Linked DNA regions of Elephas maximus indicus. The protein of the gene in region 2 purifies or fractionates together with the protein of the main gene of each other region. This does not show direct contact. Links are inferred from orthologs where the notes say so. Each region holds a gene or a part of one and is shown on either strand. Other genes may lie near its edges.

Region 1 (7,193 bases), on a different chromosome or scaffold from region 2:
CCCCTCTCATGCTGGGCCTCGACATGTATGAGGTGCTAAAACCATGGGAAATAGCTAAAACCTTAGGAGCACTTGTAGAGGAAATGAGGAAACCCTGGTGGCGTAGTGGTTAAGTGCTATAGCTGCTAACCAAAGGGTTGGCAGTTCAAATCCGCCAGGCACTCCTTGGAAACTCTATGGGGCAGTTCTACTCTGTCCTGTAGGGTCGCTATGAGTCAGAACCGACTCGATGGCGCTGGGTTTGGTTTTTTTTTTGGGGGGGTGGGTAGAGGAAATGAGTGACTTAAGGTTTTTGCAAAATAAAAGAGCAAATAGTCCCGGAAAAGGGAAAAATAGGAAGTGGTCCTCTGAAACTAAAACATAATGACTCTAAGATTTTAACTTGGAGTCAGAAAACAGTGGAAGTCTTAGTTCTCTCGCTTTTAGCTGCTGAAACAAGATTCCATTTCCTTTTCTGTAAAATGGTGATTTTTAGGCTTCTGCATGGAGTTGGAATGATCAAATTAGATAATACATGCAAAAACATTCCGCAAACTCTAACATTCAAGGCACAGGACAAGTTTGGTAATGACTGGGTTAAATGAAGGCAGTTTTGTTTGCTACAGAACTTCCCACAGCCTTTAATGCGCTCATATGCACTGTGACTTTCCAGAAAAATGCCTGGGTATGCAACATAGTCAACATTTATGTGAGAAAAAGCTGTCCTACGCGCAATACGAGATTTCAGAATCTCGGCTTAGGAGGTGATTATCAAGAGCACCTAAAATGTTCTAAATGTTTTACTACGTGCTGGGCACTCTGCTCCTGTGTTTACCTGCACTTTCTTTTAATCCTTACAACACTCCCTCAAAGCAGGCACTGGAAATTAAAAGAAAATTGAGGCTTACTAGAAATAAGTAACAGTGTTAGTCACTTAACTCATTTAAATAGCAGAAATATCAGCTTAAACCAGTCTAAGGCTGTGCATTATCACTTTCAATATTTACTCAATTGGTTGCTCACCAGGTTATAAAATTCTTTTAGAAAGGCAGCCTTCCCTCTAACAACCCAGTAGGTAGCCCTCAGAAAAGCCCCACAAGAAGAAACGCCTCTAAAATCTTCAAATGCTGTCAGAGTCCACTTTCGTAAACCAAATAAAAGTTAATATTCTAAATCAGCTTCCTGTCAAAATAAATTGTCACAGACAGTTTTCTTGGATAAGAAATGCTTCCGAAGTAGGAATTTAAACACCTGAAACAACCAAACTCTTGCAGAGTTCTTCATTCCACAATATTTCTGTCAGTACCTCTGGCCATTTATCATACTTTGATTTCAGAATGATTCGTTCATGCAGAAATGTTTCAGAATGCATGGAAAAATGGATGACAAAGGAAGCAACTGAAGAATCTGAGGTGCTTCATATACATATATATATAAATACATATCAGGTATGCACACCTGTGCTTATTTACCTTTTAAATCCTACAAACGGGCTGCCTCAACATCCCAAAGCAAACAACAGACTGGCATAACATCTTTATGAAATATAGGGTAAAGCCACAAGTTTAATGATGAGCAAACATGATTTCCAGGTGTGATAATCCAAATATCAGGCTCATGAAAGCAAGAAACCAGTGTCTGCCAAACAGAAAAGCCATGAGCAAAGGAGGAGGCATTAATTAGCTACACTGATACATCAGGGCAACTGACGACATTTGTACCAAATAACCAGTAGAAATGAGCCATGCGCAGAAATCAGACTGGCACATATTCTAAGATTTCACCGGCAAAACAGTCCATGGAAATTAGGTGTTTGTGCCTAGGTACATATGAAATAAGAGCGCCTTCAAGACCTACTGCAACACTTAGGACAGACAACCACTAACCTCACTGAAAACTGTCACATCAGGATATGCTTCCTATGCCATCGCCGTACCTTGAAATTTTAATATATGTATTTTTAAAGAAGTGGCACGTTCTCTATCCAGTGGTTTCCCTATTCAGTGGTTTTACACGTAATAAACTTCTAACACGTTGTTTAATCAATGTTGGCTTCTTTTTTGCCTTATGCAAAAACCCTATGTATTTCACTTGGCAAAAAGCCTGAATCCGAGCAGAGGCTTCCGTTTCCTCTGCCTCCACTCCCTTCCTGCCTCCTCTTCCCTCCTCGCGCGTCAGCAGGCTTGGTGGGTGCAGTTTCACGGAAATAAAGTGTCTCGGACGGACAGAGCCTGGAGACGCCAGTCACAAAACCTGTCAAAGCGTGAATGACCGACGCCACCTCCCCGTCGTCCAAACGCCGCAGGGCTGACGCTCCTTCTCCCCAGCTCCATGCCCTTCCTACAGCCGGGGGCCGCACAGACCCCGTCCGCCGACCGCGGCTGCTGCCTCCGGCCTCCCTGCTCCGCCCGCTCCGCCTAGCCTTCCCCGTCCCAGGCACTGCTGTCCTCCCACCCCCCAGAGCACCCCTCAGGGCCCGGGCCTCTTCTCAGCCGCCCCCATCCGCACACCCCAGGGCTCGCCCACCTTCCCCGCGGCACCCCGGCCCCCATCCCTCAGCCCCCTCCGCCCGCGCCCCCCGCCGGCGGCCCGGCCTCCCCCGCCCCCCGCCCCCCCTCGCCCCCCGGGTCCCGGCCTCCCTCGCCCCTCGCCCCCCGGCCTCCCCCGCCCCCCGCCCCCCGCCCCCCCCTCGCCCCCCGGGACCCGGCCTCCCTCGCCCCCCGCCCCCGGCCAGGGGCCCGCTCCGACCGGACGTTGGGGGAGGCGGGGCAGGGGCGTCGTCCCCGCTCCCTTCCTCCAACGCCGGCCCCCCCGTGGCGATCCGCCGGCGCCAGTACCTGTGGCTGTGGGGGAGCTCGGGCGGCTCTCCAGAGCGGGCTCTGCCGGGCGGGCGGGGGAAGGAGCGGGCAGCAGGCAGGAAGGCGGGAGCCCGAGGCAGCGGCCGCAGACCCGTCCCCCGCCGCTCCGCCGCAGGGCGCCCCCGGCTCATCGAGCCCATCGGCGCTCCGCGGCCTGGCGCCGGGCGGGGGGGCGGGGCCAGGACTCGAAGATCGTCGAGAGAGTCGATTAGGTCCTCCTCTGTGTGGGCAGACCTGTGGCCGCCCGAGCGTAGACCCGGATCCCGGAACTACAGCATACTTCCGGGGAGGAACAACTGGGTCTCTAGGTCCCAGCCAGGACCAGGCTCGCGCGAGGGCGCTCGGGGGATGCGGCAGTGGGGCGCCGAGGGCGTGCTCGTGACTGAGGTTGATGATGCGGTTAGAGGGTCGCCCCAGCCTCCGCAAAGGAAGTCGAGTAGTAAGAGGAGGATGGCTCGCAGCCCAAGGCTTCGGGCTGTGTAGGGCCTTTTGTGAGGGAAGGAAGTCCGTTTGATCCCTGTTCATAGAATCAGAGTCAGACCTGGCAACAGATGCTGAGGGTTGCTAGTCGGGTCTCCTCGTTTTAGGTATGAGGAGTCTGTGGTTCAAAGAGGAGACTTGTGAGCTCACACAGCTAGTTTGGACAGTGTTCTCTCCCTTCTATCATGGGTTGAGTTGTGCCCGCCCCCCAAAATCTGTCAACTTGCCTAGATCATGATTCCCTTGTATGATTATATGGTTGTCTATCATTTTATCATCTGATGTGATTTCCCTATTGCTTTGATGTAATAAGATGAATTAGTGGCAGTTATATTGATGAGGTCTGCAAGATTAGATAGGGTCTTATGCCAGTCTCCTTTGAGCTATAAAAGAAGCAAGCAGAGAGACACAGGAACCTCATAAGCCAAGAAAGCAGCGCTGGGAGCAGAGCGTGTCCTTTGGACCTGAGGTTCCTGTGCTGAGATGCTCCCAGGCCAAGGGAAGATTGATGCATCAAGGACCTTCCTCCAGAGCAGACAGAGAGAGAGAAAGCCTTCGCCTGGAGCCGGCACCCTGAATTCAGACTTCTAGCCTACTGGCTTGTGAGACAATGAACTTCTCTTTGTTGAAGCCCTCCGCTTGTGGTATTTCTGTTATAGAAGCACTAGATGACTAAGACAGTTTGTATCTTAGTTGTAACCTAGAATAATTAAGTCCAAACATACGGTAGAGCCTTCAGGTTTCAGGTGGGAAATCACCTCTGGGTGACCATGCCTGTTCTGTTCACTACCTCCTCCCCTCCCCATTTCATGTCATATTTAAACCTCTATGCCTGCAATAGCTGGATATACTAATACAAACAACTAATGTTGTCTCTGCTCTCTATTATTTGTTTTATTTATCCATTCTTCCCACACATGCCCAGCTGGATTGTTTTACTCCTTTTTCCTGTCATGTGTTTACTACACATCTTTTTAAGTTATCTATGGGTCATTTGCTGATACTGTGTTTTAACGATCTGAAATGCTGTGCCAGGCACTTTAAAAAGACATCATAAAAATAAGGATGAATGTCTAAGAAGGAGGAGACAACAAGAGGAGGAAAGCTCTGGGACACAAAGAGAGGAAAGAATAGACACCCTCTTACCAGCTGCTCTTTTGGTTGGTGTTTGCTTTGACTTAAAAATGCACCAACAAATTGAAAGATGCATTGTCTAGGGCAAAGACTCTCAACCCATAGGTGAATCATGTGACATTGAATCACCAGGGAGCTTTAGAAAGCGCTTATGCCCAGGCACTACTTTGAGATTCCGATTGATTGGTGAGAAACAGTGAGCCACGGCATTGTAGGTGGAAGCTCCTGAAAGCCTGGTGTTAGACTCACACATTACCTGTGAGTCTACTGCTTGAGAACCAGGCTGACTTAGACTGAACGGAAGCCTCTCATAGTTCCTTTGCCTGGGCATGATGGTGAGACTATCCCAGATTCTGTAGATGATACCAAAAAAAAAAAAAAAAGAACCCATTGCCACTGAGTCTATTCCAACTCATAGTGACCCTAAAGGACAGAGTAGAGCTGCCCCATAGAGTTTCCAAGGAGTGCCTGGTGGATTTGAACTGCCAATCTTTTGGTTAGCAGCTGTAGCTCTTAACCACTAAGCCACCAGGGCTTCCATACAGATGTTCTTTTTATTAGATTAGTTGTTTTCATGGGTTTATCTGCTTGTCTATTGGGGCTTTCTTGCTTTGGTGCCTCAGCCAATTATAGCTTTAGCCAATTATACCCTCAGCCCATACTCTGTCAACTTAAGGCAATGTTATATGATTATTGAGCAGTGGGGGTATGTCATTGCATAGCTTCTATGAATGATCCACTCTTTGTTTATTAGTTTATTTTTTCACCATAATTCTTTAATCCTGCCAATCATTGGGTATGATTCTTTGGGGAAGGGTGAGTACTGCAAGCCCCAACCTTTTTTCACCTGAACAAAGTCCCTTTGACTATCCCTGACATTCGTGAAAGCTTTGAAAGTGTCATTTTACAGTTAATATGGAACAAATATATATACTCATCCTGAAAGGGTATAAATAGTACTGAACTTTGGAGTTAGTGCTAGGTTCCAGCCTTACCAACTTGAATTATTTCATCCTATCTTCTCTTTCTTGAACTCCAGTTATTCAGATCTTGGTCCTCTAATTTTGCTGTATAAATCGGGTTGCTTCATGGCCTGCTTAGGAGTCGTGTTTCTCAAGTCTAATAAGATGATCACCACTGATTCGTCTACTTTCCAGCTTTTAATATTTTGTTGCAATCGTATCTCATCCAACACAAAAATATAAATCAATTATAAGCATATAAACAAAAGTTCACCATCCCTCAAATGTAAATCGACAGTGGAAGATCACTTTTCGTCCCTAAGTGACTGAGAAGGAAAGAGTTAAGCAGATCGGCAAGCAAGCAGGAGATGCAACCTAAACTTCTTAAATGGCATTTGCTAGCAAGAGAGTCCGTGTGTATGGACTTCCTTTAGCAGCATGCCCCTGGGCTAGGATCGTTTGTGGTAAATGCGTTAGGAACCCAGGTGGATTTGAAGGGTATGATTCCCTGGAAAACGTCGTGTCAGCTATGTAATCTGAGCATAAAATAGAGATGTTTCATACTGAGTTGGCTCCTTCTGTGTGAGTGAAGTGGGCACACTGTACTTAGAGACCTCATGTATTAACCTGGGCCGGGGTGCACCAGTCTTTGGCGTAGGGCCAAGACTTTTTAACCAAGCGGGAATCTGCTGGTTCGAGCATCCCATTGTCTTTATTACAAATTGCATTGTTTACAATTTCTAGTTTCATTTTCTTCAAAGCGGAGCAAAAACAAAGACACCGCTGAATCAATTTGAGTGCAAAGTCTGTCTAGATTTTGTACAATTTTTCCTAAAGTTTTACAGTTTTTTCTTACCCATACATAATTCTACAATGATTCTATAAAAATTTGATTGTGGTAAATATGAAAAACAAAATTGCCATTTTAACTATTTTGAAGTATACAATTCAGTGTCATTACTTGAGAAATCACAATGTTGTTCAAAACTTTTTCATCATCCAAGCAAAACTCTGCCCATCAGCAATAAACTCCCCTTCTCTCCTCCCCTCTAACTTCTGGTAACCTCTAATCTACTTTCTGTCTTTAAGAATTTGCCTATTCAAAGTATTTCCTGTAAACGGAATCATACGATATTTTTTTTTTATATCTGGCTTATTTCACTTAGCATAATGTTTTCAAAGTTCATGTTATAGCATGTTTCAGAACTTCATTCCTTTTTATGACTGACTAATGTTCCATTCTCTGTATAGACCACATTTTGTTTATACAGTAAAACCTGTGAAAACTGGAATCTGTGCAAAGCAAAAACATGTCAGAGCAGGAAAACTAAAATATTTTCCACTCATACAGAAAAGTGGTAAGATTATCAAAGGCAAAAAACTTAAGAGACCCAGAAAAACAAGGCAGTCCCTTCTAGTTCCAGCTCTCACATGTTTCACTGTACATTTATTTATTGATGGGCAATTGGGTTGTTCCTGCCTTTTGGCCATTGTGAATAACACTACTATGAACACTGGTGTACCAGTAAGTATCTTCCATTAGTATGGATTTTTATTGTTCACCTTTATCAATTTAGTTTTCATAGGAAAATAATATTGTACTTGTAGTTATGGAGGCCTGGTGGCGCAGTGGTTAAGAACTTGGCTGCTAACCAAAAAGTTGGTAGTTTGAATCCACCAGCAGCTCCTTGGAAACCCTATGAGGCAGTCCTACTCTGTTCTGTAGGGTTGCTATGAGTCGGAATCGACTTACATTTCATTAGTTTAAATATTTAATTAA
Region 2 (7,629 bases):
GATTTAAGAGTAAAAACAAAACTCACCAAAAAATATGAAGAAAGTTGGAATAATTAAAATTCTGCTGTCAGTGAGTAATTGGTGTCTACCAAGCTGCTGCATATGGTACTCTATAGTGATTTTTTTTCTGTTTCCACGTATTAGTGTCATAAAATTACTGAAATTTAAGTAAATTGAAAAACTTTCAATAATTTTAACACGAAAACACGTGGAGACACACCTTCAGGTGCTACAAAACTGAAACTAGAAATTATAGCTCTAGGCACTTAACATATTAACTGTATTAAGAAATTTTACAGCACTCTGAGGTATCTGAAGCCTGGTGATGTAGTGGTTAAGAGCTACGGCCACTAACCAAAATGTTGGCAGTTCGAATCCACCAGCCATTCCTTGCAAACCCTACGTGGCAGTTCTACTCTGTTCTATAGAATCAGAATCGACTTGAGAGCAATGGTTTGGTTTGTTTTTTTTCTGAAGTATTTGGAGAGACCTCTTCAGACGTTGCAAAACCAAGACTAGAAATTATGGCTGTAGGTGCTTAATACTGAGTGGATTAATAATTATCATATACGCTAAATGGACTGCAAAGCCACACAAACATCCTAAAACAGGATACACCGTGTCTGCCATTCTTCAAAGGCAGAAACTGAATGAAGACTGTACTTGGGAAAGTAAAGATCTTTTTTGTTGTTCTAACAGGTGCATATGTCCATTTTAAAAGTAATAAAAATATGGAAAACACAGTAGAGTAGAAATAAAACCACGCTTTTTCAATACCCAATCATATATTAGCATCTCCTTCCCAACAGTTCACAGTATACATTCAATCCTTCATGTATTTGTGAAATTCCTACTATATGCTAGACGCTCTTCCAAGTGCTTAAGACACATGAAAAACAGACAGACAAAATATAAAGCTCGTGTTCTAGCTCGGTGGCTTTCAAACTTCAGCGTGCATCAGAAATTCCCTGGAAGTCAGGTTAATACAAATAATCTGCCCAAGCCACTCTGGGGCAGATTATCCAAAAAGCAAGGCAAGGATGGTGCTTACGAGATCATCTGTAGGGAACAATTTCACATGGGTTTCGCCACATCAAACCGGTGGTAAAACCCATTGGAAGTTGTTTACTACAGATAGATTAGTAAATATGCACAAGTAAGGCCATGCTTACCTTCCTTACTGGGTCATCCACCCCTGTCAGAGATTGTAAATTTAAGAAGAACCTTTGATTCTGTAGGAAGGTGCTGTGGGGTTAGGAGAGAGATACAGATGCCAGCCATAGCTAGAAGCAGAATCTTTGATGTTGTGAAAAAGTGTGAAATTGTTCATTACAGATGATCTGGTAAGCAAGGTATGCACAGTGCTTACCTTGCCTATTGGATAATCTGCCCCTGCAGCCACCCTACTTAAAATCACTGCTTCCCTCACTATTCCTTTACTCTGCTTTATTTTTCTGTACAGCTCTTAATGCTGCCTGTTATTACCAACATCTGGACAGTGCTTCTCAGTAAATACTTGTTAATCAAGTACATGAATTTCATCCCCACTGTTGGCCCCTACTCATGGGGATCCCATGAACAACAGAATGAAACACTGCTCGGTGCTACACCGTCCCCATGACAGACTACAGACTGGATCGTTGTGATCCATAAGGGTTTTCACTAGCTGATTTTCAGAAGTACATCACCAGGCCTTTCTTCCTAGTCTGCCTTAGTCTAGAAGCTCCACTGAAACCTGTTCAGCATCAGAGCAACAGGCAAGACTCCACTGACAGATGTGCTTGTGCATGAAGTGTACTCGCTGGAAAATCCAACCGGGGTCTCCCGCATAGAAGGCGAGAATTCTACCACTAAACCAACGCCTCACTCATTCTCAGCAGAGACACTCAAAACAATACACAAAGTCTTAGCCTTGATGCCAACAAGACCATTCTGGCAAGCCAGGTCTGCCTATAGATTTAACTAGAAAATTCCAGTTCCTCCAGGCAGAGCTTGCAGCAACCTGAATCGTGAAATCAAGGGGCAGGGGATGGTCTAAGCAGACAGAAATTCATTATAGGAACATGTAAACTCCACCCTCCCCGGCAAAAGAACAACAGAAACTGGTATTTACCAACTTCCCCAAATAACTCTCAAATTTATGACTCCTCTGCGTTTTTAACCTTTTTCGAGCCACGTATCCTTTGCCAATCTGATGAAAACTGTGCATCTCTCTTAAAGAAAATGTTTTAAACCGCATAAAACAAAATAGTTACAGAAAAAGAACAGTGCTACTAAAACACAGGACTGTAGGTTTAAGAACCCCTGTGATGTTAATTGCCATAGTGATAAACATAAGGCGAGAAATTTTTGAGAGGGCCACGAGAAGATCAAGAGAAAGGATCTCAGGGAAACGACACTTTGAGGCCCATCCCTGAGAACGTCTCCGACCCACCCGAAATGACAGCAGGGATATTCAGGGCGCAGTGACCCTGCCAGGACCGGGGGGGAATGTCTGTGATGGGGCGCAGAGAGAAGAGAACCCAGGTCTGGTACAAGGGTGGGGGCTCTTTCGCCAAGAGCGCGAGGGGCCAAGCTCCCACAGGACCGGCCCGCCCCTGCCTCACCGGTTCCCGCCGTCCCCAGGAGCCGCTCGGGCACCCCTCGTAGGTATTCATGGAGGCCGCGGAAGATCTCGTGCAGCTTCTCGAAATGCTCTGAGGAGGCGGCGGAGGTGGCCATGGTGCAAACCGCGCTTGAGCAGCGGGCGCCGAGATTCTGGGTGCGGGGCCCACTCCTATTCCACCGGTCAACCACCGAGCCCCGCAGCCATCACTGCGGCCGCCGCCCCCACCGCCCAGGACGAGGCGCTTCCGGGGCCAGCAGCGGGGTCCTCCGGAGCCGGAACGCCCACTCCCTCTTCCCCATCGTCCTGCGAGCGCCAGGAGTGAATGCCTGACGGAAAAGCCGGCGAGCTGCGCAGCCCAGACGGGTGCCGGAGGACCAGTGCCACACCGGGACGAACCTCAGTCCCCGAGTCCCGGAAATACCCGATCCAGGGTTGGGGAAAGCGTCACAGTGGAAGGTCCCGGGTAGACCTGCTGGACGGGCAGCAGGGCCAGCCTTCCTCCCGGGCCCCGCCGGCTGGCGAGGGGCGGGCGCTGCAGTGCATGCCGGGAGCTGTAGTTCGGCGTGGGAAACGCTCCGACTCAGGCGTGACGCGTCGTTAGAGACGGGCGGTTCCGCCAGGGGCGGCTCCTGACTCTCAGGGTTTGGTATCCGGGCGTTGTCTTCAGCGTTATCGCACTTCACCTGCTATCCTGCCGCTCTCGGGGTACGTCCTGACTAGAATTTTAGCTTTCAGCCCTCGAAAGCTTTACCTTTGCCGGTACAGCACTTTCACTGAAGAGGTCAGGTGACTTATGGCAGGGTCATATGCTTTCAGAAGGAACCCGGACAATGTGATCCTGAAGTCTGCACTCAATCTCTAACGGCTGTGCTTGCCTAGTGCAGCAGGCTGCCGGGTACATACGTTCACTCCACAGGGGGTAAGCGAAGGCACTGTGCAGGGATTTGGGCATAATAAGTTGGTGAATAAAACGAATTTACTCTCTACTCTTTAGTACTTTATAATCTGGTGGGGAAGTTGGACCTGGCTTCATCAGGTCTCGTCTGCCACTAAGAGTGGATTTTAAATGTGTTAATGTAGTTCCCCGCACTCCATGGGCATAAGGAAATACTTTATGGGTACAAATGGTTCAGTGGCAGGAAATTCACTGATTTCATGGTTTGCCTACGGAGCACATTCTGAAATATTTAAACTGCCCATGAACATTAAAAAGCTTATGAATGTTCAGGGGGAAATGATTTGGTGATTTATATCTCTTAGATCCTTATTTTAGATTGAGTTCACTGGCCACTGATTCAACAAGAGCTCCTGATATGCACTGAGCACAGAGAAATGACAAAGTCTGAGGTTGTTGGTGGCACTGTACTGTAGTAAGTCTCACAATGCTGTAACATATTGTGCTAAGGGAATAAAGGGGCAGCGCAAAAAGGAGAGACTACAGCCTGGGACGATAAGGAAACCTGGGTAAAAGTGATTTTTAAACAGTGTTATAAAAAATAAGTGGGAATTGGATGAAATGAATAATCAGATGATCACAAAACGAAAATTAATGGCCACTTGAGATTGTATTGTAATTAAACTCTGGAACAAATTATCCTTTAGGATGAGAAATGGTTACATAACTATAATAACGAAAAGTGTTTTTTTTTGCTTAATTCTCAGAGTTTTTATTTTGGTAAATAAAAACATGAAAAATAATCAAAAAATTTTTATTTGCCACTGACCATTCAATATAAATAAGATATTAATTCAGTTATTCTACTACACTATCATCAAAAGATTTCTAGCTTTTCCATAATATGACCCTTTCTACTTATGTAGTTCAATGGTCTCAAAACAATTTCAACCAAAAATTATTAATTTACAAACACAGTCATGCATCACTTAACACCCATGATACAATAGGATGTTATGTGATTTGATCATTGTGTGAACACCGTATTATATACAGGCAGTCCCCGGATTACAAACAAGTTCCGTTCCTAAGTGTCTTTAAGTTAAATTTGTACAACTTAAAGTCAAATTTGTACATTAAGTTGGCACGGTTAGTTATGGTTTGTATCTAACATCAGTTAGTCAAGTGTTTGTCATAATATATAGTCTACCTTTCTATGGATAAAAAACATTAAAGAAACACTTCCAGATACACTAAAACATCTTTAACATAACAATAGAGTAATAGTAATGTTTTGATGTGCATTGCAAAGTAGCACCCATGTGTTATTACGAATCACTGTGTACCTCAAATTTTTAATATAATAGGCTTTACAGGGGTTGTTTATAACCTAGGGATGATAGAAAGTACAGTGTAGTACATACATAAGCCACTAACACAGGCATTTACTATGACTATCAAAACATGTATTAGAGGTTATATATGCACTGTACCATTATACACCTGGCAGCACAATTGCTTTATGTACAAGAGACATGCCATATACACATTGTGTGCAGTAAGCTGTTGCACTGGCTATGTCCAGTTATGTTTGCTACGTCCCGTTCTCCGATTGGGATTTCTCAACTATTATAATCTTATGGGACATATATGTGGTTGGACTTTGCCCAAATGGACATTATGTGGCGCATGACTGTAGTAAGAAATGAAGATTGTGGTCCTATAACTATTTTCATCCACCAAAGTTAAACATATAAATTATCAGTCCAAGAAAGTCACAAATTCTGTTGCAGTATCGTACTCCAAACAAGTGATAGGAACATTACCAATTCCTCTGACTTCCTTTGGCAGCATTTCTTTTGATAAAAGTTCTCCAAATACAGATTTTTTTTTTAAACAAATTGACGTTTTAACCTTGTCAAGATAATGTAAGGAAATGTCCTAAAATTGGATGTAGTCACCAGTACCAGTTCTTAAGATAATTTTTCTGTATAGGAATTGGGTATTTTTTTGGTTTTGTTTTGGGTTTTTTTCCTGCCACACTGTTTGACTGGTGCTAGTTAAGACAGCACCTCATCAGTCTTGCTAACTTAGGTGCTCTCTCAATTCTTTTACAGCGTTTTCTTGTTCTTGTTGTTTGTTTGTTTTGTATCTTCAATTAGTCCCTCCATTGCTTGCATTATCTCCCAGGATGCTTCTTTTTTGGACTTCTTTCCTGTTATCCATTTGCTTTTCTGGTAGGTAGTTACCAACATATGCAGGGTCTGCTTTGCTTTGCAGCTCTACCCGTTTGCATTGAAGACCAAATGAAGTGGTTTGCTCCATCTCTGATCATTTACCTGCACCAGGGCTCAGTTTAATACTATTCCTCTATGGCTGTTTTGAATTTTGCGCAAATACTCCCAATTGCATAGTTATACAGGAACACACACAAAGATATATTCAGTTAAGAATGACCAAATATCCGTTCCCTCCTTCTAGTTTTCTAAGCACAGAAAGGAGTCAGTAACGAAAATCAGGTGGCCTGTCTTTTCATACTGTCCCCTTTATCCTCTCCTTGCTGGTCTGAGAAACTGCAGAATGACATTCCAAACTTTACCTTTATTTCTGCCACCCCCCAAATTAAAACCAAACCCCACAACCTTCTTAGAAAAGGCAGTTCTACAGTGTAGATGTGGGAAAGTGTCCTAACAAGAGTGGCTCCAGGTTGTCAGAGATCAGGCCACGCCTTAATCCAGATTCAGTTAAGAGTTTTCTGAAAGACTCTAGATATTGGTGCAATGGTGGTTTAATTAAAGAGGTGAGAGATAATCCCTATTCTTTAGCCAAGCCACTGTGACTCCTGGGGTTGAGCTGAGGCTGCAGTGTGGCTCTCTTGAAGTGAAGATTGACTGGTTGGCAGGGACTACATAGTGAATAAAGACGGTAGAAACTAGTCCAAATTCCCATGAGTCAACCCTCCCATAGCTTGGATTCTTCTAGGTAGTAGGTTTCTGATGGAAAAGATGAGCTGTGCAGGTCCTATGAGGGCTTTCTCATCCTATGACATCTCTAGTAACTCTGGTAATATCAGGAGCAAAATCAGCCTAGACAAATGAAAAGCATTTAGACAAATCTGGCAGTGTACCAGGCTTTTACTGGACATCAAGCAGGCAAGGCTGGAAGGTTTTGCTCCCTTTTGGCCACCTAGAAGGAGAGTCGCTTTGACAGCAGGTGCTGAATAGTCCGCTCTTAGGTCTGGCTGCCACCACCTGTCAGTCCAGTGGGATGCCCAGGAGGTCACAGCTGACATCCCACAGCCGCCGTGCTACTGTCTCATTTCGAGCCTGGGCAGAGACCCGGGCCACCTGGCAGTCACTGAAAAAGAAAGAGAGGGGCGTAAAGCACAGTGTGAAGGATGGAGTCTGCTCTCTGCCTGGGTTAAGGAATAAGACAGAAAAACTACCCAGGGATGAGACCTAGGGAAGAAGCACCTCTAGGTGCTTCACAGGGTTGGTGTCTGTCTTCCTTCTGAATGCTATAAAATAGTTCCACTTATTTTAAGAAAGTCCCCATTAAAAGCAGGAGGGGTATCCTAACTCTGACCCACCCAGAAAATTTCCTTAAGGATGATCCTCTTACTCACGTTTGTATTCCCTGAATCTAGTACAAGTATTCAATGAATAGGGTTTGTGTCTTGATCCTCCAATCATTACCCCACAGAAAATATAATTACTATTTTTAGACCTCCTCACTAGACAGGAGGAGAATGTTTTGTTTGATACATAATGCATATCATTTAGTCTTTATAGTCCTCTTTGTATATACATACCTAATCATTGTATCAGTGTCTGACACCTGTGTGTGTCTGCCTTTTTCAAATTAAGTCTGTAAGGTCCATTCTATAGGGCCTTGTACAGTGTCATCTAGCTGCGATTCTGCTATTTGCACAGGTCACCAATGCTTACATTGGGAAAAAAACACTTTTTGTTTCTAGCCTACCTGCAGTTATAGAACTGTTTTTAGGCTAGTATGACAAGTAAAGCCAGCTTCATAAACAACAAAATAAAGAAAAGGTAACAGCAGAAAAAAAAAGGTTAACAAGGTACCAGGTGTTCCATACTGTCTCTTCAGTGCTATAGTTCCA
Region 3 (7,637 bases), on a different chromosome or scaffold from region 2:
AAAACATTACCATTGAGTGGTTTCTGACTCATAGTGACACTACAGGGCACAGAACTGCCCCATAGGGTTTCCAAGGCTGTAATCTTTATGGAAGCAGACTGCCACGTTTTTCTCTTGCGGAGTGGCTGGTCAGTTCAAACTGCCAACCTTTCGGTTAGTAGTCAAGCGTTAATCACTGTACTACCAGGGCTCCTTCGAGACCTACTACTACCTCCAGACAGTTTTTCCAACCACAACAATTTCTAGTGAGTTGCCTTTCTCTGAACTCTGGGGCACTATTCTGCAGCAATCACTTCAGCACTTAATCATCTACTGCTTGTCATTTCTACTTAGTTTGGGAGTAAGCTGTTTCCCAGATTAAACTGTAAACTCCTAGGCTAAGAGCCATAACTTAGGTGACTTTAATTTTTCCACATTGCATAGTACATTTTCAACACATTTAGTAAATGGAGGTACAAACCAAAAAAAACCAAACGTGTTGCCATCAAGTCAATTCTGACCCTATGGAGGTATCAAAAAAAAAAAAACACAAAAACCAAACCCATTGTCATCAAGTCAATTCCCACTCATAACGACCTTATAGGACAGAGCAGAACTGCCCCATAGGACTTCTGAGGAGTAGCTGGTGGATTCAAACTGCCGACCTTTTGGTTAGCAGCCAAGCTCTTAACCACTATGCCACCAGGGCTCCAACGGAAGTACAAGGCTCCCCAAATATGCCATCACACAAACAATTTGGAGACACCCATATGGCTGACTTTACCTTTCCACTGTAGAAGGTATCGAGTCTCTTTTCCTTCCGACTACCTTAAGAGCAGGAGCTAAAATGATATACTAAGAAATGTCAACCAAAACTCCAACCCAACGTTCCAATAAAGTAGTGATACCCTATCAATGAACAAGCATTGGTAGACTGTATTGGATACGATCAGGGGGAAATGTCAGGGTGGCAAAACAATTTAGGGTTTTTGCAAATTCCATTAAAAATCAAACAAAAAAATCATCATCTTTGATCTCCACTGCCAGTGATAACTTTTGCAACTTAGGCATTAAAGACTTTCAAAGAAAAACACACAGTTTAAAAAATTTTAAATTTACCCCTAAACCAATCTTTCTAGTAAACAACACATTCTCCGGGTAGAGAGCCACATATTTTTAGTAAGTCTATAACTCAGTATTTCCCCACCTAAATTAAAGTAAGGGGAAGAAAAACCTTTCTAGGAAAATGGAAAGTAGTAGTATGAATGAATTATATTGTACCGTTGATAATAAAGTGTTTTACCTAAACAAACCCCTTGCCATCAAGTCGATTCTGACTCATAGCAACCCTATAGGACAGAGTAGAACTGCCCCACAGAGTTTCCAAGGAGCACCTGGTGGACTGGAACTGCTGACCTTTAGGCCAGCAGCACAGCACATAATCACTACGCCACCAGGGCTTCCATTTTACCTAAAGTACTACTTACATATACTGAGAATAAAGGATAACAGGGCCTTCAAAAACAATGAACACCCAAGCAACTGGTTAGCTTTAACCACTACGGAAACAGGAAGCTAGTAACAACTGGTTGAAAGCAAGGGGGTACTTGATGGTTATTAGTACTGATCTTGCCGGACCTTTGTAGTTGTCAGATTTTTGTTGTTTAAATTTGACATGTATAACATAGAGCTGACAAGTTATGAGAAATAAGTTACCATATCAGAATCAGATCTTTCATGTATCTGTTTAATGGCCATACAGTTGATAAAACAAAGTGAAATTTAAGTTTCTGTCTCCAAAGATGGAGTCCTGACAGCTAATAGGGAAAAATAAAGTAAGGCAGTTCCATTCTGAAAAGCAGAAGAAGAGGTGGGGGGAACCTGTCAAACAGCCTCGTTGAAATCACGGAGTTAAAAGAAACCACTCATTTCCTTTAGCAGTGTGGGAAAATCCCGGTTGCTAATAGAGAGCTGAAAGTTTAGTTTGGCTGATTTCATTTTGTTTTCCTTCCAACACCATCACTGGGTATGAACGACTGTTTTCCTCTCATCACGTTGCTCAGTAAAAACTCCCCCAATGAATTGAGCTGTCTTCCGGTGCAAAGCTCCCCAGTCTCGCACATCAACACCCGCCCCCGCCTCCCTCCCTCCAAACGTGCTCGGCCGCCTCTGGGCAGGTTGTGGTGTCACCGGTCTGCGGGCGAGCGCTCCAAACTCAATGGACAATGGGAGCTCACCCCCGTCAACGCTAACTACAAAGCTCAGGAGGTCCATTTCCCTTTTCCTGCCCAGATGCTGTTTTCCCTCCTTCGAAGCAGAGTGCCAAGCTCGACTACCACCCCTGTTTTAGCTAGGGCCTGTGCCTCTCCCCACCTGCAGCGCTGCTGAACCCCCTGACGCCAAGAGAAGTTGTATTGCAGCGAACAGGCCCAAGGGAGGCCCCTACCAGGGGCTTGGATGGAAGCGCAGGTTTCACCGTCCAGGTAGGGCGGGGAGGGGGTGTCTCTGGACGCTTGGTCATGGCTCTCGAGGCTAAGCCGTCCCCACTGTCCCCTCCCCAGCCTCAACTTGCTTCCCTCCCCCTACAGCCAGGGGAGCAGAGAAGTGCAGGCAGGCAGCACAGCCGCCCCTCTGCACTAGAGCCCTCGCCGACACTCACCCTTTCACCACAAAGAAGGGGTCTTCCATGGACATGGCGTCCCGGCCCCCGGCCGCCTCACGCTTGATCAGAGCACAGGGCGCCCGCGCCCTCCTGGCCTTCCTCCGCCCAATCCACCGGCCTCCCGCAGCCGCCGGCGCCTCGGCCTGGAGGATCCAGAGCAGCGAGCGCGCGCGCAGGAGCGGGTGCACCGGACGGCCGCAGGTCCAGCGCTCAGTCGGCGTCGAGAAGCGAATCCCAGACTCTGGAGCCGGCCCCCGCGGCAGCCTCCTCCCCGGGCTCCTCCCGGCGCGTCCGGCAGGCCTGACCCCGCCCCGGGACCCTTGGTGGCGGCCAACCACGAACGCTGCCCACAGCACTACTTCCGCACCCGCGCTCACGTGTCCAAGACAAGCCCCGCCCCTCGTCGGCGGGGCCAGGGCAAAGCGTCACACGACCGTGGAGGCGGGGCTCTGGGGGGGCGGAGCAAGGGCTGTTTTCTCAGGCTTCTACCCTCCGGCTGAGGGGGAGGAAACGTTTGTACCCATAGAGAAAGGCAGGCTTGTTTTCAGAGTAAGCAGTAGTTGTGTCTCATCCTCAACAAACATGTTCATATACATTATCTGGCTATGATAATGTGACACAATTTGTTTATGTAGGTCTTACCTCGTGTCAGGCAAGTGTTAAAGGCTGGATATGCGTTATCTCAATATACTTGTGGCGAAGGTAATATTCCCATTTTGTAGATAAATTCAGAGAGGTTTCAAGATTTGCTGTGGTCTCACAGGCTGGACAGATTCCGTACACTATCCACCAGACTGGGGTGTATTTTGCTGTACATTCTGCAAATGACCACATAGGAAAAAATTTTCAGACAGCATATGGTGCTTCCTAGGAGAGAGAGGCTTTGAGGGGCTAAGAAAATGCCAGGTGTATGGCAACTTCCTCTCAACTGTGGTTCCAGAGCTCTTTCAGAAGGAATTTGGCCAAACTATTAGGCAACTTCATACGGCAGATATGCTACGAGGTTTGTGGAGGGGGATTGTGGAGCCCTGTTGGCACAGTGGTTAAAGAGTTCGGCTGCTAACTGAAAGTTCGGTGGTGGGAACCCACCAGCCATTCCAAGGAAGAAATCTTGTGTAAAGATTTACAGCCTTGGAAACCCTATGGGGCCGTTCTACTCTGTCCTATAGGGTTGCTATGAGTCAGAAATTGACTCGACGTCAGCAGGTTTGGGTTTGCTCATTGAACATTTACTGAGTGTGAGCCACTGTCCTTAGTGTTATCTCATTTACTCTCACAATGAGGCAAATACTGTTATTATCCTCATTTTACAGATGAGGAGTCTGAGACACAGGGATGTTAATGATTTGCCAAGGTCACCAGTTTCTTTGGAGATGGCAGAGTCCTTTGGAGCCAAACTCTGTTAAAGCTAAGTTCTCTTATTCAGTTCCTAGGAGTAGATACGGTTCCCAAGGGAGTTTAATGAATTAATTTCTGCGCATGTAATGGGATGCTTGTCCAGGGCACAATGACCAACCACTTACTCCGTCTCATCTGCGTCTGGCCCACTGCTGCCCCAATTCTCTGGGGACATCAGTGCAGGCTGGAAAGGGACAAGGAAGTTCGGAATAGTGACAGATTGGCCACTAGTCCAAAGGGCTAAGAAATAATGAGCACTCGTCTTGGCTCTGGGAAGCTTGGTCTAGTTAGGGCCTGAGGGCAACCAAGGAAATCCAGATCAAACACATGGCTTACGACCAACCAAGAGAGGGGCCTGAGTGCCATATCGATCTTAAAGATTTCCTACGTGACCTACTTTTGACCTGGATAAGGTTAAAATAGCCCTCTCACGCTTGCCCCCGCCTTAACCCATCTGCCTGAGATTGGCCTGAACTTGTGAGTAAACGAAGTTGCTATCTTTTCAATGTTGAACTTTAACTAAGAAACCAAATCCTAGCTTCTTAAAGGGAGGAGTCAGATCGGTAGGCACTAGTCCTGCCAGAATACAAGGATGGAGCTCAGAGATTTGCTCCTTGCTGTTTCTGCCTTTGTAGGGACAGGGAAGAAGAGAAAGGTTTGCTGCAGAGGATTCCAAAAGATTGCTGTGGCCCATTCAGGAAAGTGGTGGGAGTCCAGCTGAGGCTGGCCTGGGGTGCTTCCTGTCCTGTGGCCAGTGTTCTGGCTAAATCTCCAAGTCTCTGCCATCAGGGTAATTGTCACCATGGTATTCTGACCACTCCTTCAGGGTAGTAATATGAGTTTCAAACTACAATCTTCATCTTTGCCACAGAGGTCTTGTAGACCAAATAAAAGAGTAGATTCATTCTGCTCTTAAGGAAAGGAGGCTTGTTATCCAGGCAGTCTGGAAAGGAGGGACTCAGGAAAATCAGATTCAAACAGTGTCATTGTGCCACCCTATCCCCCATCTGCCCTTGCTGGTTAGAGATCTTTGGACCTTAAAGACCAATGCTTTGCCACTAACTGGATTAATAACTATGAGTTTTTTCATCCCAGAGCTCTGTTTTGCGAGGATTTGGGGCATATAAGACTTTGATTAAATGTTCTCAATGGGAGGCCAGGTGACCTGGAGTATCTACCAACAGTGAATGGACTTAATAGAACAGAAATGATGTGTTCAAATGATAAAAACATAAACCATGGAATCATAAAACTTCAGTAATTTGGAAAAAAACCTACTAATTATAATATCTAGTAATAAAAAGTTTTTTGGGGGGGGAGTAATAAAAAAAAACACAAACCATTGCTGTTGCGTCGATTCCAATTCACAGCAGCCCTGTAGGGTTCCCAATGCTGTAATCTTTGTGGAAGCAGACTACCATATCTTTCTCCCTCAGAGCCAATGGTGGGTTGGAACTGCCGACCTTTGGGTTTGCAGCTGAGCTCTTCAGTTGTCGTTAAAAAAAAACAAAAACCTGTTGCCGTTGAGTCGATTCTGACTCATAGCAACTCTATAGGACAAAGTAGAGCTGCTCCATAGAGTTTCCAAGGAGCACCTGGTGGATTCAAACTGCTAGTTAGCTAGCAGCCTAACTCTTAACCACTATACCACCAGGGTTGTGTTGTTGTTGTTGTTGTTAGGTGTTGTTGAGTCGGTTCCCACTCATAGCGACCCTATGGGCCACAGAACAAAACACTGTCCAGTCCTGCACCATCCTCACAATTGTTGCTATGCTTGAGCCCATTGTTGCAGCCACTTTGTCAATCCATCTCGTTGAGGGTCTTCCTCTTTTGCGTTGACCCTGCACTTTACCGAGCATGATGTTCTTCTCCAGGGACTATATCCTCCTGACAACATGTCCTAGTTATGTAAGACGCAGTCTCACCATCCTTGCTTCTAAGGAGCGTTCTGGTTATCCTCTTCTAAGAAGTCCATGGTATATTCAATATTCTTCGCCAACACCACAATTCAAAGGTGTCAACTATTCTTTTGTCTTTCTTATTCACTGTCCAGCATTCGCATGCACATGATGCTTGGGTCAGGTGCACCTTAGTCTTCAGGGTGACATCTTTGCTCTTCAACACTTTGAAGAAGTCCTTTGCAGCAGATTTGCCCAATGCAATGCATCTTTTGATTTCTTGACTGCTGCTTCCATGACTGTTGATTGTGGATCCAAGTAAATTGAAATCCTTGACAACTTCAATCTTTTCTCCATTTATCACGATGTTGCTCATTGGTCCAGTTGTGAGGATTTTTGTTTTCTTTATGTTGAGGTGCAATCCATACTGAAGGCTGTCGTCTTTGATCTTCATTAGTAAGTGCTTCAAGTCCTCTTCACTTTCAGCAAGCAAGGTTGTGTCATCTGCATAACGCAGGTTGTTAATGAGTCTTCCTCCAATCCTGATGCCCCATTCTTCTTCATATAGACCAGCTTCTCAGATTATTTGTTCAGCATACAGATCAAATAGGTATGGTGAAAGGACCCAACCCTGACGCACACCTTTCCTGACTTTAAACCACGCGTTGTCCCCTTGTTCTGTCCAAACAATTGCCTCTTGATCTATGTAAAGGTTCCTCATGAGCACAATTAAGTGTTCTGGAATTCCCATTCTTTGCAATGTTATCCATAATTCATTATGATCCACACAGTTGAATGCCTTTGCATAGTCAATAAAACACAGGAAAACATCCTTCTGGTATTCTCTGCTTTCAGCCAGAATCTATCTGACATCACCAGTGATATCCCTGGTTCCACATCCTCTTCTAAAATCAGCCTGAATTTCTGGCAGTTCCCTGTCAATATACTGCTGCAGCCGTTTTTAAATGATCTTCAGCAGAATTTTGCTTGCATCTGATATTAATGATATTGTTCGATAATTTCCACATTCGGTTGGATCACCTTTCTTGGGAATAGGCATAAATATGGATCTCTTCCAGTCGGTTGGCCAGGAAGCTGTCTTCCAAATTTCTTAACATTGGCATAGACAAGTAAGCACTTCCAGCGCTGCATTCATTTGTTGAAACATCTCAATTGATATTCTGTCAATTCCTGGAGCCTTGTTTTTCACCAGTGCTTTTTTTTTTTTTCCTTCAGTGCAGGTTGGACTTCATTCTTTAGTACCATCGGTTCCTGATCATACGCTACCTCTTGAAATGGTTCAACGTCAACCAGTTCTTTTTGGTATAATGATTCTGTGTATTCCTTCTATCTTCTTTTGATGCTTCCTGTCTCGTTTAATATTTTCCCCATAGAATCCTTCACTATTGAAACTTGAGGTTTGAATTTTTTTTTTTTTCAGTTCTTTCAGCTCGAGAAATGCTGAGTGTGTTCTTCCCTTTTGGTTTTCTGACTCCAGCTCTTTGCACATGTCATCATAATACTTTTTTTTTACTTTGTCTTGTGGAGTCACCCTTTGAAATCTTCTGTTCAGTTCTTTTATTTCATTATTTCTTCCTTTTGCTTTAGCTGCTCCACATTCAAGAGCAAGTTTCAGAGACTCTTCTGACATCATTTTCGTCTTTTCTTTCTTTTCTGTCTTCTTAATGACCTCTTATTTC

Evidence for each region.
Region 1: the proteins of VTI1B (region 2) and VAMP4 purify together in Homo sapiens (affinity purification with mass spectrometry; 4 studies listed by BioGRID and IntAct, counting the BioPlex papers as one, with this or other methods). This does not show direct contact. The link is inferred for Elephas maximus indicus from reciprocal best matches to the Homo sapiens genes VTI1B and VAMP4.
Region 3: the proteins of VTI1B (region 2) and STX6 purify together in Homo sapiens (affinity purification with mass spectrometry; 3 studies listed by BioGRID and IntAct, counting the BioPlex papers as one, with this or other methods). This does not show direct contact. The link is inferred for Elephas maximus indicus from reciprocal best matches to the Homo sapiens genes VTI1B and STX6.

Annotation. Positions count from the first base shown.
Region 1 is NC_064821.1:211,690,901-211,698,093, reverse strand, and holds the start of VAMP4 (vesicle-associated membrane protein 4), read right to left. Parts: upstream 3,001-7,193; 5' UTR 2,817-3,000; intron 2,409-2,816; exon of another isoform or gene 1,866-2,408; intron 859-1,865; exon of another isoform or gene 815-858; intron 1-814. UniProt on the Homo sapiens protein: Involved in the pathway that functions to remove an inhibitor (probably synaptotagmin-4) of calcium-triggered exocytosis during the maturation of secretory granules.
Region 2 is NC_064828.1:80,026,263-80,033,891, forward strand, and holds the start of VTI1B (vesicle transport through interaction with t-SNAREs homolog 1B), read right to left. Parts: upstream 3,017-7,629; 5' UTR 2,722-3,016; coding exon 2,607-2,721; intron 1-2,606. Other genes in the region: RDH11 (retinol dehydrogenase 11), read right to left, coding at 6,758-6,860. UniProt on the Homo sapiens protein: V-SNARE that mediates vesicle transport pathways through interactions with t-SNAREs on the target membrane. These interactions are proposed to mediate aspects of the specificity of vesicle trafficking and to promote fusion of the lipid bilayers.
Region 3 is NC_064842.1:44,143,174-44,150,810, forward strand, and holds the start of STX6 (syntaxin-6), read right to left. Parts: upstream 3,024-7,637; 5' UTR 2,674-3,023; coding exon 2,639-2,673; intron 1-2,638. UniProt on the Homo sapiens protein: SNARE promoting movement of transport vesicles to target membranes. Targets endosomes to the trans-Golgi network, and may therefore function in retrograde trafficking.